Arabidopsis thaliana: one gene and its partner. The protein of the gene in region 2 interacts with the protein of the main gene of each other region in a pairwise test. Each region holds a gene or a part of one and is shown on either strand. Other genes may lie near its edges.

The links. The genes of interacting proteins can lie anywhere in the genome.
Region 1: the proteins of LHT2 (region 2) and AT5G63710 interact in a protein complementation assay, tested with the Arabidopsis thaliana proteins (one large-scale study listed by BioGRID).

Annotation. Positions count from the first base shown.
Region 1 is NC_003076.8:25,496,734-25,503,938, reverse strand, and holds AT5G63710 (Leucine-rich repeat protein kinase family protein), read right to left. Parts: upstream 4,429-7,205; 5' UTR 4,036-4,428; coding exon 4,020-4,035; intron 4,007-4,019; exon of another isoform or gene 3,916-4,006; coding exon 3,769-3,915; intron 3,691-3,768; coding exon 3,561-3,690; intron 3,475-3,560; coding exon 3,403-3,474; intron 3,327-3,402; coding exon 3,183-3,326; intron 3,089-3,182; coding exon 3,023-3,088; intron 2,934-3,022; coding exon 2,863-2,933; intron 2,791-2,862; coding exon 2,647-2,790; intron 2,559-2,646; coding exon 2,217-2,558; intron 2,140-2,216; coding exon 1,745-2,139; intron 1,662-1,744; coding exon 1,341-1,661; 3' UTR 1,108-1,340; downstream 1-1,107. Other genes in the region: AT5G63700 (zinc ion binding / DNA binding protein), read left to right, coding at 6,307-6,425, 7,152-7,205.
Region 2 is NC_003070.9:8,649,974-8,656,445, reverse strand, and holds LHT2 (lysine histidine transporter 2), read left to right. Parts: upstream 1-2,530; 5' UTR 2,531-2,884; coding exon 2,885-3,066; intron 3,067-3,150; coding exon 3,151-3,534; intron 3,535-3,741; coding exon 3,742-4,135; intron 4,136-4,220; coding exon 4,221-4,326; intron 4,327-4,423; coding exon 4,424-4,515; intron 4,516-4,606; coding exon 4,607-4,675; intron 4,676-4,784; coding exon 4,785-4,883; 3' UTR 4,884-5,039; downstream 5,040-6,472. Other genes in the region: AT1G24405 (uncharacterized protein), read right to left, coding at 1,008-1,193. UniProt on the Arabidopsis thaliana protein: Amino acid-proton symporter. Transporter with a broad specificity for neutral and acidic amino acids. Basic amino acids are only marginally transported.

The DNA.
Region 1 (7,205 bases), on a different chromosome or scaffold from region 2:
TATAAATTAAAGTAGTATGATTTACATTTCTTTTTTTTACCAAGTCATGTATATACTAATACTAATACTGGTTAGAAATGTTTTTTTTCAATGTTATAGGTTTTATACTAGTAACAAAATCTATCTATACTAATATGAATCATGGTTGATATATCTACTATATTTTGAATATCATCCCACTTTTTCACATGATAACTCTTTTTTTTTCAACATGTAAAATATGCATACATATTTTTTTTTGTAGGGAGTAAATATGCATACATATAGCTTGTAACATTGTCTCCCTATTGATTGCGTATTTAATAAAATTTTGCATATAAAATTTTTTTTTTGGGGACCCGTTGTTTGTTATTTAGGGTACGTCTGAGAGGCTCAGGAGAAATACCGAAGAACACGTCATAACAAACCAAAGAGATAGAAAAGGAAAACGAAGATCTGGACGTTCATTCATAGTTGAATCGGACGGTGGAGAAGAAAGTTACCTGGGAACCGGACATGTCGGTGTCAGCGGAAACCAAGCACCAAGAACCGAGAAAAACAGCCCGGTTTACGAGGAAGTTAGAAAGGAGTTCTCTTTTTCACTGACCGCTTACGTCTGTCTCCGGTCCCATTCCTTGCCTCATCCTTCATTTAACGCACCCAAAGTACACAACACCAAAATTAACAATCTGTATTTTAATACCAGAGGATCTAGAGTTTAAGAATAAATCTTAATCCATGAAAGTTCTGTTCTTATGAATCTACACTCTGAATCCATGTCACTACAACAAAAACATCTAGATTTGTTTTGTTCTGTCACTGTATCATCCCTTCCAATAAATCACTAGTCTAATAATTTCATGAGATACATAGACTGGACAATTAGTTTTCTTGATAGTACATCATTTACAATCTAGAAACAAGAATACTCGACGTGCAGAAAAAAACAAGAATACTCGACGTAAAATTAGCCATAAACAATGTCACAAGTGGGGTAAATTGTTAGAATACAAAAGTTGAAGGTAAAATTGAAAAACCAACTAAACTTCAAGGACTGGATTCAGAAGTTTATAATTTTTACGGGACACACACGAAACGACGACGTATGTAGAAAAACAGAGCAAACACTGCCACCATAACAACCATGATCATCATTATCATACGAAAATAACCAAATTCATATATATACAAAACACAACTAGTTATGTATATCATATCATCTATTACACAAATCAACGTTGTGTGTTTGCTTCGTTTTCCCCACCTGGTTCAATACAATTAGCAGCTTAAAATACTTTCTAAGTTTATCTTCTGTAATGCAAGTTTGTTTTCATAGATATCTTTCTCTCTCTGTTTCTTCTTCATCTTGCTGTCGATAATCGGATAGATTCTTGATCAACGGTGGTTTCTTCTTCATCCCAAGTAGCCGGTAAAGTCGGAAGCAACAATGCTTCTTTGTTCCTAACTTCTTCAAGTTGTTCCCATTCAGTCCATTTCTCAGCCAAACCACCAGTCCCTTGAAGCATTTTGACCACTTCAGACATCGCTGGTCTATCTTCTGGTGAGCCTTGTGTGCAGAGAAGAGCCACTTGAACGATTGTTTCAACTTCTTTGGAGTCATATGTAGTCAAATTGCTATCAACAATGTCTCTAAGTCTCTGTTCTCTAAGCAACTTCTTTATCTGTTTCATACACATCCAACAACTTAAGATTAGTTTCAAGTCTTTTCAGATAGAAGAAAGCATGTAAAAGAAGTCAATCTTACATGATCAAGCAAGAGAATATTTTCCTCTTCTTCCAAGCGTGAAAAATCGATTGCGCGCTGACCAGTAACAAGCTCAAGAAGCGTTATACCGTAACCAAAAACATCGGTTTTTTCAGATGATTTTCCTGTGCAGAGATACTCTGGCGCAATGTGACCCATTGTGCCTCGGACTTGAGTTGTGACATGAGTCAGAGATGTGTCCACAAGCTTAGCTAAACCGAAATCTCCAAGAACTGGCTCAAAATTGTTGTCTAAAAGTATGTTTGCAGCCTTGAGATCGCGGTGTATGATCTTCGGGTTACAATGTTCGTGTAGATACTCTAAACCGTGAGCTGAACCAAAAGCTACACGCTTCCTTGTTGGCCAGTCTAATCCTTCCTCTCCCGCTTTCAAATCTACAATGTCACATATGTACACACACATTATAGAATCTATTATTTGGTTAAGTGATAGAGAAGCTAAGTATATATACCTCTTAGTCGATATGCAACACTAAGATTTTCCATGTATGGATAAACAAGGATTCTCTCAGAGGAAGTTGTGCAGAAGCCAATAAGGCGTAAGAGATTTTTATGAACCGCAACGCTTATGAGCTGAATCTCTCTTTGGAAAGCAGCTTCTCCTCCAGGACTGAAGTAATCCGCAAGGCGTTTCACTGCAACTTTTGTTTTGTCTGGAAGCAAACCTCTGTATACTTTACCAAATCCTCCTTGTCCTATCAAATTGCTCTCGTTGAAACTATCTGTTGCGAGCTGGATTTCACGTAAAGAGAATCGTTTTAGTTGTCCAAAGGAAATCTTCCTGTCATCTTCCCCTGCATTTTTTAAGGAAAAAGGATATTGGCTCAAGAGTTCATATTGATCTAATGAGATGTTTGACTATAAGTATATGTAACTTCTTACCAGCTACATCAAAAAAGATGTCGTATTTGGTTCTGCGGACGCGATGGTGATGATACATAACCATTGCTCCAAGGAATAAGATTATAGAAGCAACACAACTTGCAGTCAAAGTAATGTCTCTCAGCTTTTTCTTGGAGGATGTGACTGAACATAAAGATACTAAGTTAAGTCTTTCTGTTTGTATGTGAATTGGAGAAAGAAGAAATAATTAAGAACCTGGAAGACGAGAACTTGAAGAACAAGGCTGATTCAAACTTTTACCGCATATAAGCTGAGTTCCTGAAAAACTGCAGAAAAATCACAAAAACGTGATTATAGTACTGACAAGTCACTGTGACTAATTAGGTAGATTCATGAGGAAAATAGTTTTTTTTACTCGAATGTTGGGATTGAGAAGAATTGTGTTGGGATGCTTCCTGTTAAATTATTGGATGAGAGATCCCTGTGAATTAAATTTCAATGTTTTATCTTAGCCAAACGCTCTCACAGAGTCACATTTCAAAGATTGTTCCTAAAGAGTTTTTGAGTGGACTTACAAGTGCTTTAGATTCGAGAGCTGACTCCAGCTCGCTGGTATCGATCCGCTGAAACTATTCACTGATAGGTTTAAAGTCTGTAGATTAACCATGTTCCCAAGAGAATCTGGTAAGGCACCAGATAAACTATTGTTCTGTAACTCTCTGCATCAAGAACAATTACTATGAGTAATGGAACCTAAAAAGAAACTTGTAATGGAATTGGTTTATGATCTCTTACAAGGTAACCAAGAACTTCAGTTTTGTAATAGCTGGAGAGAGTGTTCCTGTGAATCCACTCGAGGCAAGATTTCTACAGATTGATACAAAACAAGTTTTTCAACATGATGAGAAATCTTGGTAACTAAAACTTGAGAAGTGATCTTTAAGAGTACTTACAGAGCCACAACACTCTGGCCTCTGCAGGTAACATAAGACCAACTATAGCAAGGGCTCACAAAATCGCGTGTCCATTTTAGACGATTGCTCGAATCATTAAGCGAATCTCTGAGCTGCAACAGAGCTCCTCCTAGCAAATGAATCAAGAAGCGAGTTAATACTACAAGATCATTAATGATTTATAAACAAAGGCTAATTATATATAGACCTTCGATATCTGGTTGAGTTGTTGACGAAGTGATTCCCACAAAAGCTAAGGCCATGAAACATTGTAAGATCAATTTCTGATTGTTCCATCTAAAGCAATTTCTTTGAATGAATCCTCGAAGAGGATCATGGAAACTTTCACCGTTCCCTGCAGTTTATTAAATCAGTCAATCTCAGTTTAAACAGCTTTTCTTTTCTGCTGCAGAATCTATAGTCTAAATTGCAGCAAATCGATGGAGAAAGTTAACTTACTATACAAGAAACACATAACTTGTGTGATCAAACTATGTTAACTAAACATAAGAAAGCAAAGAAAAGAAAAGACCGATTTGTGGGTCTAATTATGTCTTAAAAACTAACAGCTTTGATTGCTTTCTGATGTGAAACATTGTCAGATCAATCCATAACTCCTCTATCAGAGCTCATTTGAACCGAAAACATTAAGAAAAATGAAAGCTTATAAGTATCAAGAACAACAAAATTTATAATTCTGTCTTTGACTCTTTGCTTTGATGATCAAAAACCTCTCCGTTTCACCTAAATATGTACCAAATATTTTGTAACTCGAAACTAAAAGAAACAATAAAGTTATGTAAAATAAACAACAAAAACCAAGAAACCTAATTAATATACAATGGAGAAAGATAGGCATTAAAGTATAAGTAAAACAAAGCTTTTAAATACCCGAGTGAGCCATAGAGGAGCTGAAAACACTCTAAACGGAAGAGAACGAAAACATGGGGTTGAAGAGAGAAATGGAGGATTTGTATAATAATGAAGCCAATAAAAGCAACAATAATGTAAAATCATCTAAAGAAAGAGAAGTTAGTGCTTATAAAGGACCCACAAAAGGTATTTTTCATATTTTTATCTCTATGATGTAAAAAGAAGATGAAGAAATGCTGCTTTGAGAGAAAGAGAATCCCACTAAGTTGAAACATCTTTGATTTCTTAATGGAGGTGTATTTTTCCATCTTCTTTTGCTTCTTTATTTTGGGTGAGATCTCTTTTGCAAGTGTGTAACTTGGGATGTGATTGGGGCTAAAAAGGATATCAATTTTAACAAAAAAGGATATAGATGGCCCAAAATAAACATAAAGTAATAAAGAATGATTTAAACGAATTAGTAATAGAAAACAAACCAATGACTTAATTAAGAACTTAATAATGTTTGGGAAAATGGCTTATGCTTTAGGAAGAGACAGAAGCATGTGTAAGAAGGTTCCACACTTCCACTTGTTCGTGTTATATTACTCCACTATTCTGGACGATGACAATGCAAAAGGGCGTTTTTGTATATATTCCTTTCTTCTCTGACCTTCAAATCAAAGGATATGATACAAACTAAAATAGTTTTAACATAACCTATAACTATATATATATATATATATATTTAACTATCTGTTTTTGAGTAAATAAATTCAAACATTGAGAAGTTTACATTTTTAACATTTATAAGGTAAGTAATTGATCTTTTGATATCCTTTTAAAAAACAAAAAAAAAAACAAATTTAGTTACCGCCTTTCAAAAAAGACGTAGTAAAACATCAATGTTTAGAAAACTTTAGGTTATTTCCCTTAAGAGCTATGTTGAAACATCATGTAGAAATGTAGGCAGAAGAGAAAAAAAGATAGATATTTTTAATAGGAAAATTAGGTGAAGAAAAGAGAAAGAGAACATAATGTGAGGAAGAAGAGACTAAGAATATATACGGAATAATGATATCAATACTAATATGCTTGATTAGTTGGACATGTTCTTATGCTCCTCCCTTTATATGTTGTCATACGATTCTTCACCTTATTGAGACTTTTGTTCGATCTGCAAAAAGATCTGATGATCATATCTCAATCTAGAACGTATATTTCAAAAGTTAAATTTCATCAACATTCACAAATAAAACAAACTCAAATTTATTTTCTATTTTTATCAGGAAAAAATGAACTTAGGTAAGTGAGAAAAAAGCCTTCAGAGCAAAAAAAAAAGAAAGAAAGATAAATTTGAACATTGTGAAACCAAATGCCAGATTACTTTTCTTACTTATTAAAATCTTATAACTTGTAAATGATTTGTTCATAAAAATGTTATAATTAGTAAATTAATTTTAACAACAAATATCACTTATAATCCAAAATTTAGGTAAAGACAAAACTTGGTTCGATATCTTTTGTACTTGCGAGCATTGTACTTCCCGGTCACAAAACGCAATCGCTAAGTAAAAAAAAAAGGTCCATCTGAACGCAAGACTTATTCAATTTACGAAATAACCCCTATGAAACTGTGTTTAATGGACACGTGTCCTGGATACGATAGGGGTATAATAGAGACTTTAGGAAAGTAGAGGTTGGCGTTTGGGTGATTGGTCAAAGCGAATCCTTAAGAATCTAGTAATACTGACACAGGTCACTCAAACAGCTATTTATTTGGCTAATTTTCAGCCTTAATATCAGAATTAGAGAGATAAGTTTTTCTTCTTCTTGCTCTGTCGCCACTAACTAGGTCACCGCCAAGTAACATCGGATCGAGAGAGAGAGAGCGATGGCGAGAGATATGAATGTAGTGGAGATTTTGGATGATGAGGAGGAGGATGAGAAGGAGTGTGAGGATTGGTGCTTTATCTGTAAAGATGGTGGAAACCTAATGCTCTGTGACTTCAAGTGAGTCTCTCTCACTTAGTTAAGCATAATGCTGCTGCTGCTTCGGTAGAGGATTAGTTTTTTTTGTTTGCTTGTTCTTTGCATGTTCTTGATTTCTAATGATGAAGGGTGTTTTAGTCTTTGTTGGGTTTTGCTTATATTATAACGAGGATTTGTCAATTTCAATGTAGGATTGTACCGAGTGAACATGTATGTTGTCTTATTGGTTCTTTTTTATAGATTTGTTTGTCTAAGTGGAAACAGGAAACTTTGTGTTCTTCACTAGGAAAGTACTTCTTTTTCAATCAAGTTACTTTTGTTTATTCAAATTGACGATTAGGGGATTTCGTTTGGAGGCAGTGATTTATGCCAAAAGAAGTCATTTCCTCTGAATGATGAAGCTATAAAAAATGTTACTGCTTTGGTTTTTTTTGATGATTCTTTCATATGAATGCGCTTGAGGAGAGACATTGTGTATTATTCTGTAGTTAAAGGTATAAAGATGTTTCTTTTTTCTTTAGTTCATTAATTAGGAGCTTAGGTAATGTAGCAACATTGACTTTTTCCTTCTATTAAATTGCAGCAGATTGTTAATGTATGATTTGCATGAAAATTAACAATTTCATTATGAAAAGATTGTCAAGATGAATATTAAAGTATTGTCAGTTTGTCAGTACACTTGTGATATTTAGTCTAGTTTAAATGTATGCATCTAACTGTGCACCTCATTGTGCTTGCTTGTTTCAGAGACTGTCCAAAAGTTTATCATGAAAGTTGCGTTGAAAAGGATAGCTCAGCAAG
Region 2 (6,472 bases):
GGAGACAAAACGTTATTATTTCATCTTAAAAATCTTGTCTTAAATATCGAAACAGAGAATAGTAATTATAATGAATTGCATTGCTTTTAAAACCTTAAGGGGTCCTTTGATTTTACAAAAAGGACATTTTTCCTTTCTAGGACTAGATAGCTAATTTTTATTGGCCTTAATTGTTTGCAGATTCAAGATTATGATTGCAATTTTTCTAAAATGAATCCATTATCCAAGCATCTCAAACATCTTTTTTTTTTCTGTTAATCGTTATTCAACACAATGTTTTTTAATCTATCGTTGCACTAGTTGTAAAAACGCTATTTTCTTTTAAATCTAATTTAACATTAAATTAAAAAAATAATAATGTAAATGTCAAACCTTTTGTATATATTTTTTTTTTTGTATGAATAAATGTCAAACTTTTTCTTCACGTTTACGTTAAAAGTAGTTTACAAAAAGCTAAAGAGTATTACAATTTTAAAGATATTTTCTTTTGAACATCTCACTTTGCTTGTTGTTTGCATCCAGATGGTGACGCGGCATTAGATTAAACTATGCCTATATGGCATGGTTTATGAATTTTGTGAGAGGTTACTTGTCGGTACATCCTGCATGTTGCTGATTTTAGTAAACTAGGATAGTGATATTTTGAATCGTTGTTTATTGCCTAGACGTCTTTTACGAGTGTTTAGCGATCCATTAAGTTTTCTTTGTCATTTTAGGTATTACAAACTCAAAAGGATGATTTTTTTTACATGTACTCATCTAATAGGATTAATGATTTTATAATACACCTTTAATAAAACAAAAACACAATTCCTGGTCGCTATTAAATTCTCACCAACAAAAATATAAATACACAATCAACCGCAACCAACGAACTTTCTAAATGTTAAAGATTTAACAATTACAATCAGAAGAATGGTTAAAAGAGAGAAGCAGAACTTAATGGATTAATCACAAGGAACAGATGAATCAATAACCCTTTTGTAACTAAACAAATAACCTATTGATTACTTATCAGATTTCTTGCCAAGTTTCATCCATTTGAATCCAAGTATGGCCTTCCCGATACCGCTTTTGCTTCCATCTTCCTTCTTCTTCTTCTTCTTCTTCTTCTTATCGTCTTCGTTACTTGAATTTGGAGGAGGATCAGAGTTGTAATCCCATTGATCAGCCCATGATAGTCCAGAATCCATCTTCTTCGTCTCTCTTTAAGATTTTGTGGAATGAGAAGGTTTAGAAACAAATATGAGGGTGAAAGAAAGATTTTGTTTTACTTATTATAGACAGTATTGGTTTGACACAATGTCTATAAGTTTCTTGGTTGCTTATTTTTGGGGTTTATCTGTTTTTAGTTGTGCCTCTTTGCCCTTTGGTTGGACAAAGAATCAACATCTTTCACCTTTGACTGTGAAAACCCTTCAACAAGAAAAGAACCCCTTACCTGAAACACTTGAATTTTTTTGAGTAATCAAAAACTATACGCTTCAACGGTTCAACCTAATTTCTCTTTTACATTTTATTCAACATTTTCAAAGGATAGTTGAGTAGATTAATTACTGTTGATAAAAAACGACATACAATTTTTTTTGTCACGCTTTGAAATTATATTATTACGCTTGTTTCGTTTTGTGACATTGTACTACCAACAATAATTGTTTTTTATAGTCAACCATATCATTAATCGGAGCGGTCCCTTGATTCGTTCGAGCGACCCTCTAATCAATTGGGAATACTGTGACAAATAACCATGCATTTATGCTTCAACAATTTTAGTTTTCCTTCATAAATATCACGGGATGCAAGTGACGCTAAGCATAAATAGTTCGTCTGTTTCATTGACTTTGTAATAGAAGATGAAAAAAGAAAATATATAGATATTTATCTTCCTTTTGATGTCATGACGTTTCGTGATTTTGATTTACAGTGTCAAAAAGAGAGATTACGCTAGCGAAACGTCACTACGACCAAGATTTAGTTGGAGTATTTATACTCTGATCATTCTCAATTTCTCATCATCGACATTACAAATATGCAAAATTAACAAAAAATAATAATATATACAACTCATCACCTTATATATCTAAGAGCGTTTTGTCTAACTAATAATATGTTAGCATTTTTATGCCACTATTAGTAATTTAATAATATAGTTATTGCTTAAATATATAGATTTTTAACATATTTTCTCTTAGATATATATATATATATATATATATATATATATATATATATATATATATATCAAGATATAAATAAATTCTACTAAAAGAAAAACAAAAAAACAGCTAATTTTTTGTCGGTCAACTCAAAATAATCATTAAATGAGAAAGATATATTTATCTATCGAATAAATATTATTTTATTTTTTAAAAGCGAAACACTCGTTAGATCAGGTGACCATGAAAAGAAAAATTCAGCTCTATCCAAAAAAGAAAATAAATCATGCAAATACAGGGAGAAAAAAGTACGAAATTACAAAAAAAAGCCATGTCAATGTAAAGAGAATCATTGAATCAAGAAGAACGATTGGGGGTAAATTAGTATTTAAATTGGTCTAAGCATGAAACAGCTTCCAGCCGATGGTGCCTTATGCCTCGGGCAAAAAAAAAGACCAAACACACTAAACAAAACTACCAAACAAACTAACAAACATTCCCTTCAAATTCGGAAAAGTCAGAATCTCATCACCTATTTATTACACTCTCATAAACGCTAACAAATCGTTGAATAGAATAATTAAGCAGGTAAAATCCTAAACCGTCAGAGAATATCTATCCTCCTCTTAAATATCACTCTTATCTTTATCCTCCTAAAATCTTCTTAATTGTATCTAATCTCTTTCTCAAAAACCAAACACTATCTCTCGATTATATCACAAGGAGATATGGGGAACAGTGAAATGTCAGCGAGTGAGGTTGCGGCGGCCAAGCAGAAGAACGTCGACGATTGGTTACCGATCACATCTTCCAGAAACGCTAAGTGGTGGTACTCTGCTTTTCACAATGTCACCGCCATGGTTGGTGCTGGTGTTCTTAGCTTGCCCTACGCTATGTCCAATCTCGGATGGTATACTAATTTGTTGAATCTGATAATCTTAATCTCCTTTATGTTTTAATCCATGATCTGATCTGAGTTTTTGATGTATTACAGGGGACCTGGAGTGACGATTATGGTGATGTCATGGATCATAACGTTGTACACACTGTGGCAAATGGTGGAGATGCATGAGATTGTTCCAGGGAAGAGGCTTGATAGGTATCACGAGCTAGGTCAACACGCTTTTGGTGAAAAGCTTGGCCTATGGATCGTCGTGCCGCAGCAGCTTATCGTGGAGGTCGGTGTTGACATCGTTTATATGGTCACAGGAGGAGCATCCCTCAAGAAAGTCCATCAACTAGTCTGTCCCGATTGCAAAGAGATCAGAACTACGTTTTGGATCATGATCTTTGCTTCCGTCCACTTTGTTATCTCTCACCTTCCCAATTTCAACTCTATCTCCATCATCTCACTTGCCGCGGCTGTTATGTCCTTAACGTAAATCTCTTCAACACACATATATTGGTTTTACTTTATAACTTGAACAGAAAGTTAGAATAATTAACCTAGAGCATGCCTTGTGGTTCAAGGCTAGGGATCAAAATTGTTGTATATTTTCCGGTTATTAGAAGAAAAACTTAGCATAATCCCAAAATATGTAGAAAACTAGGTTTTATTGCCTGATGATTTTTATGATCTGTACAGTTACTCAACTATTGCTTGGGCTGCATCCGTGCACAAAGGGGTACATCCAGATGTGGACTACTCTCCTAGAGCATCAACCGATGTTGGAAAAGTATTCAACTTCTTGAATGCGTTGGGAGATGTGGCTTTTGCTTATGCAGGTCACAACGTTGTGTTGGAGATTCAGGCCACAATCCCTTCGACTCCGGAGATGCCATCCAAGGTCCCAATGTGGAGAGGAGTTATTGTAGCCTACATTGTAGTCGCCATCTGTTACTTCCCTGTAGCATTCCTCGGCTATTATATCTTTGGAAACAGCGTTGATGACAACATCCTCATCACTTTGGAGAAGCCTATCTGGCTTATTGCTATGGCTAACATGTTCGTGGTTATCCATGTCATTGGAAGCTATCAGGTATTCTTCCACATTCTAGTACTTCTATATTTTTGATTGAAGTAAGAATTATTTCATGAATATTGACACCTTTGTGTGGATTCAGATATTTGCAATGCCAGTTTTTGACATGCTCGAAACCGTTTTGGTCAAAAAGATGAATTTCAATCCTTCTTTCAAGCTCCGCTTCATTACTCGTAGTCTTTACGTCGGTAAGAACCCACTCCTCATTTATACATATGTAACGTCATCCTCCTACTCCATTCATTAATTAATCTCATTTTCATCAATGTACATTGGACCGTGCAGCTTTCACGATGATTGTTGCGATATGCGTCCCGTTTTTCGGTGGACTACTCGGCTTCTTTGGAGGATTCGCCTTTGCCCCAACAACTTACTACGTATAGTACAAATAATCCCTTCATTTCTTTATTGGTTTATCCATAGATTAAAGTTGTGAATTTATATACACATATTAATTTGTAACTGCAGCTTCCATGCATTATGTGGCTCGTTCTCAAGAAACCAAAGAGGTTTGGTCTATCTTGGACAGCTAACTGGGTATGTTCTTTAGTAATCAATGGTACATAATCTATAGCTCTTGTTTTCTTGTAAAGTAACAATTTTTGTGTTTTGGTTTGTTGGTGTTGTGGATTATGAAAAAATACAGTTCTGCATCATAGTAGGAGTTCTTTTGACGATCCTTGCCCCAATTGGAGGACTCAGAACCATCATTATCAACGCCAAGACCTACAAGTTCTTCTCTTAGATGGATCACTTTTTTTTGTAACCGCGCAACCGAAAAATAAAATCACGGCATGTCTAATTTTATGTGACTGTCCGTTTAAGTAAATTTTATGTTTTCATTGTAGTTAAGACAATTATCTTTGGTTTCTTTTGATAATAAACTCTTTTTCAAATAATTAATCTCCATGATCTGGTTCTTCTAATGTTGTGATTTCGTAATTTATGCAAGAACGTACACGGGAATTTTATGACACGTCTAGATGCAATGTTACCATGGTCAGCACGACACTGCGTTTTGTTTTTCTTTATGGTTTATGGATACATTTACATTAGATGATTTGGATCTGTGGTTAGATTTAATCTTAATCACGGGGTTTTCACCTGTCAACAATATGACATGACTTGAAAACGAATTTATACTTTCCAGTACAGCATGCATGAGTGATGAGAATAATTTAATAGCTTCGTTTATTATTTTGGCTTTTCAAATATCTTGATTTATACGTTGTTTTTGTTGATACGTGAACCTGTGATTCTGGTCGTAACTCGTAACGCCACATGTACCCTTTTGTGGAGAGTTTACTTGTAAACGGCAGACCAAGAACAAAATGTCCTTTCATCAATTTCTATCTAATAGAGAAATCGGCAATTTTGGTTATAAAGCTCTTTGATGAGTCTTCTCCTTGTCCTGCCTTAATTATCCTTTATGCTAGGCTCGGCTTCATCGTTACAATTTGCTCCGATCCAGCTTTGATTAAACTCGCTCTATATGTACATGATCTTCTTGTTTCTTTGTCTATGCATGTATTTTGTCATACAATTCTTTCTTGATTAATATTAGGAGAAAAACATAGAGCTCAGTAGTATAAGTATATACAACCAGTCCACGCATTCTGCTGCTTCCTCTTACCACATTACTTTGGACACCATGGATCTCACCGCTCTTCAACCTTTTGAGACTACAGTTTATGACATATCATATGGCAAATTAGCTTTATCGTGCCGTATTGCTAGACCTCTAAGTCATTACGAGACTTTTGTAGTGGTGCTTATACAACAAGCAAGCCATCTTACTAAATGATCATCATTGATGTAGTTAAATTCTTATTAAATTAGAGAATTATTTTTGTTTGTATAGTTAAATGTTACAATATAGTTTTAAAATATTATTATGTTAAAATTTTACCTTGAATTAACACAAAACAAATTAAAATTTTGATTTTGAGATATAGTGAAATAGGATAGGAAAATAGTTATTTTCAGGAAGAGAAATTGTGGACGGTACATTTAAATAAATTAATATAATTAATTAAAGAAGCAACAATTATGGTACAAAAAACTAAAGTTGGAAAAAATTCTTATAAAATACATGATATATCTAATGACTAATTTTAGTCAAACTACAACTAATGAAAAGTACATGTGTTATTAAAATAGAATGTCAAACACCACATTATTAGACATAGTTTAGAAAAATGCTTGTTATATTATATATATAAAAAGATTTAATCTATGGAGTACCTTTTTTTTTTCTCGGGATATCATGACATTTCTAAATTGAAGTTAAAATACATCTCCCCCTCTCTTGGTATGCCAAATTGTTTAACAAAC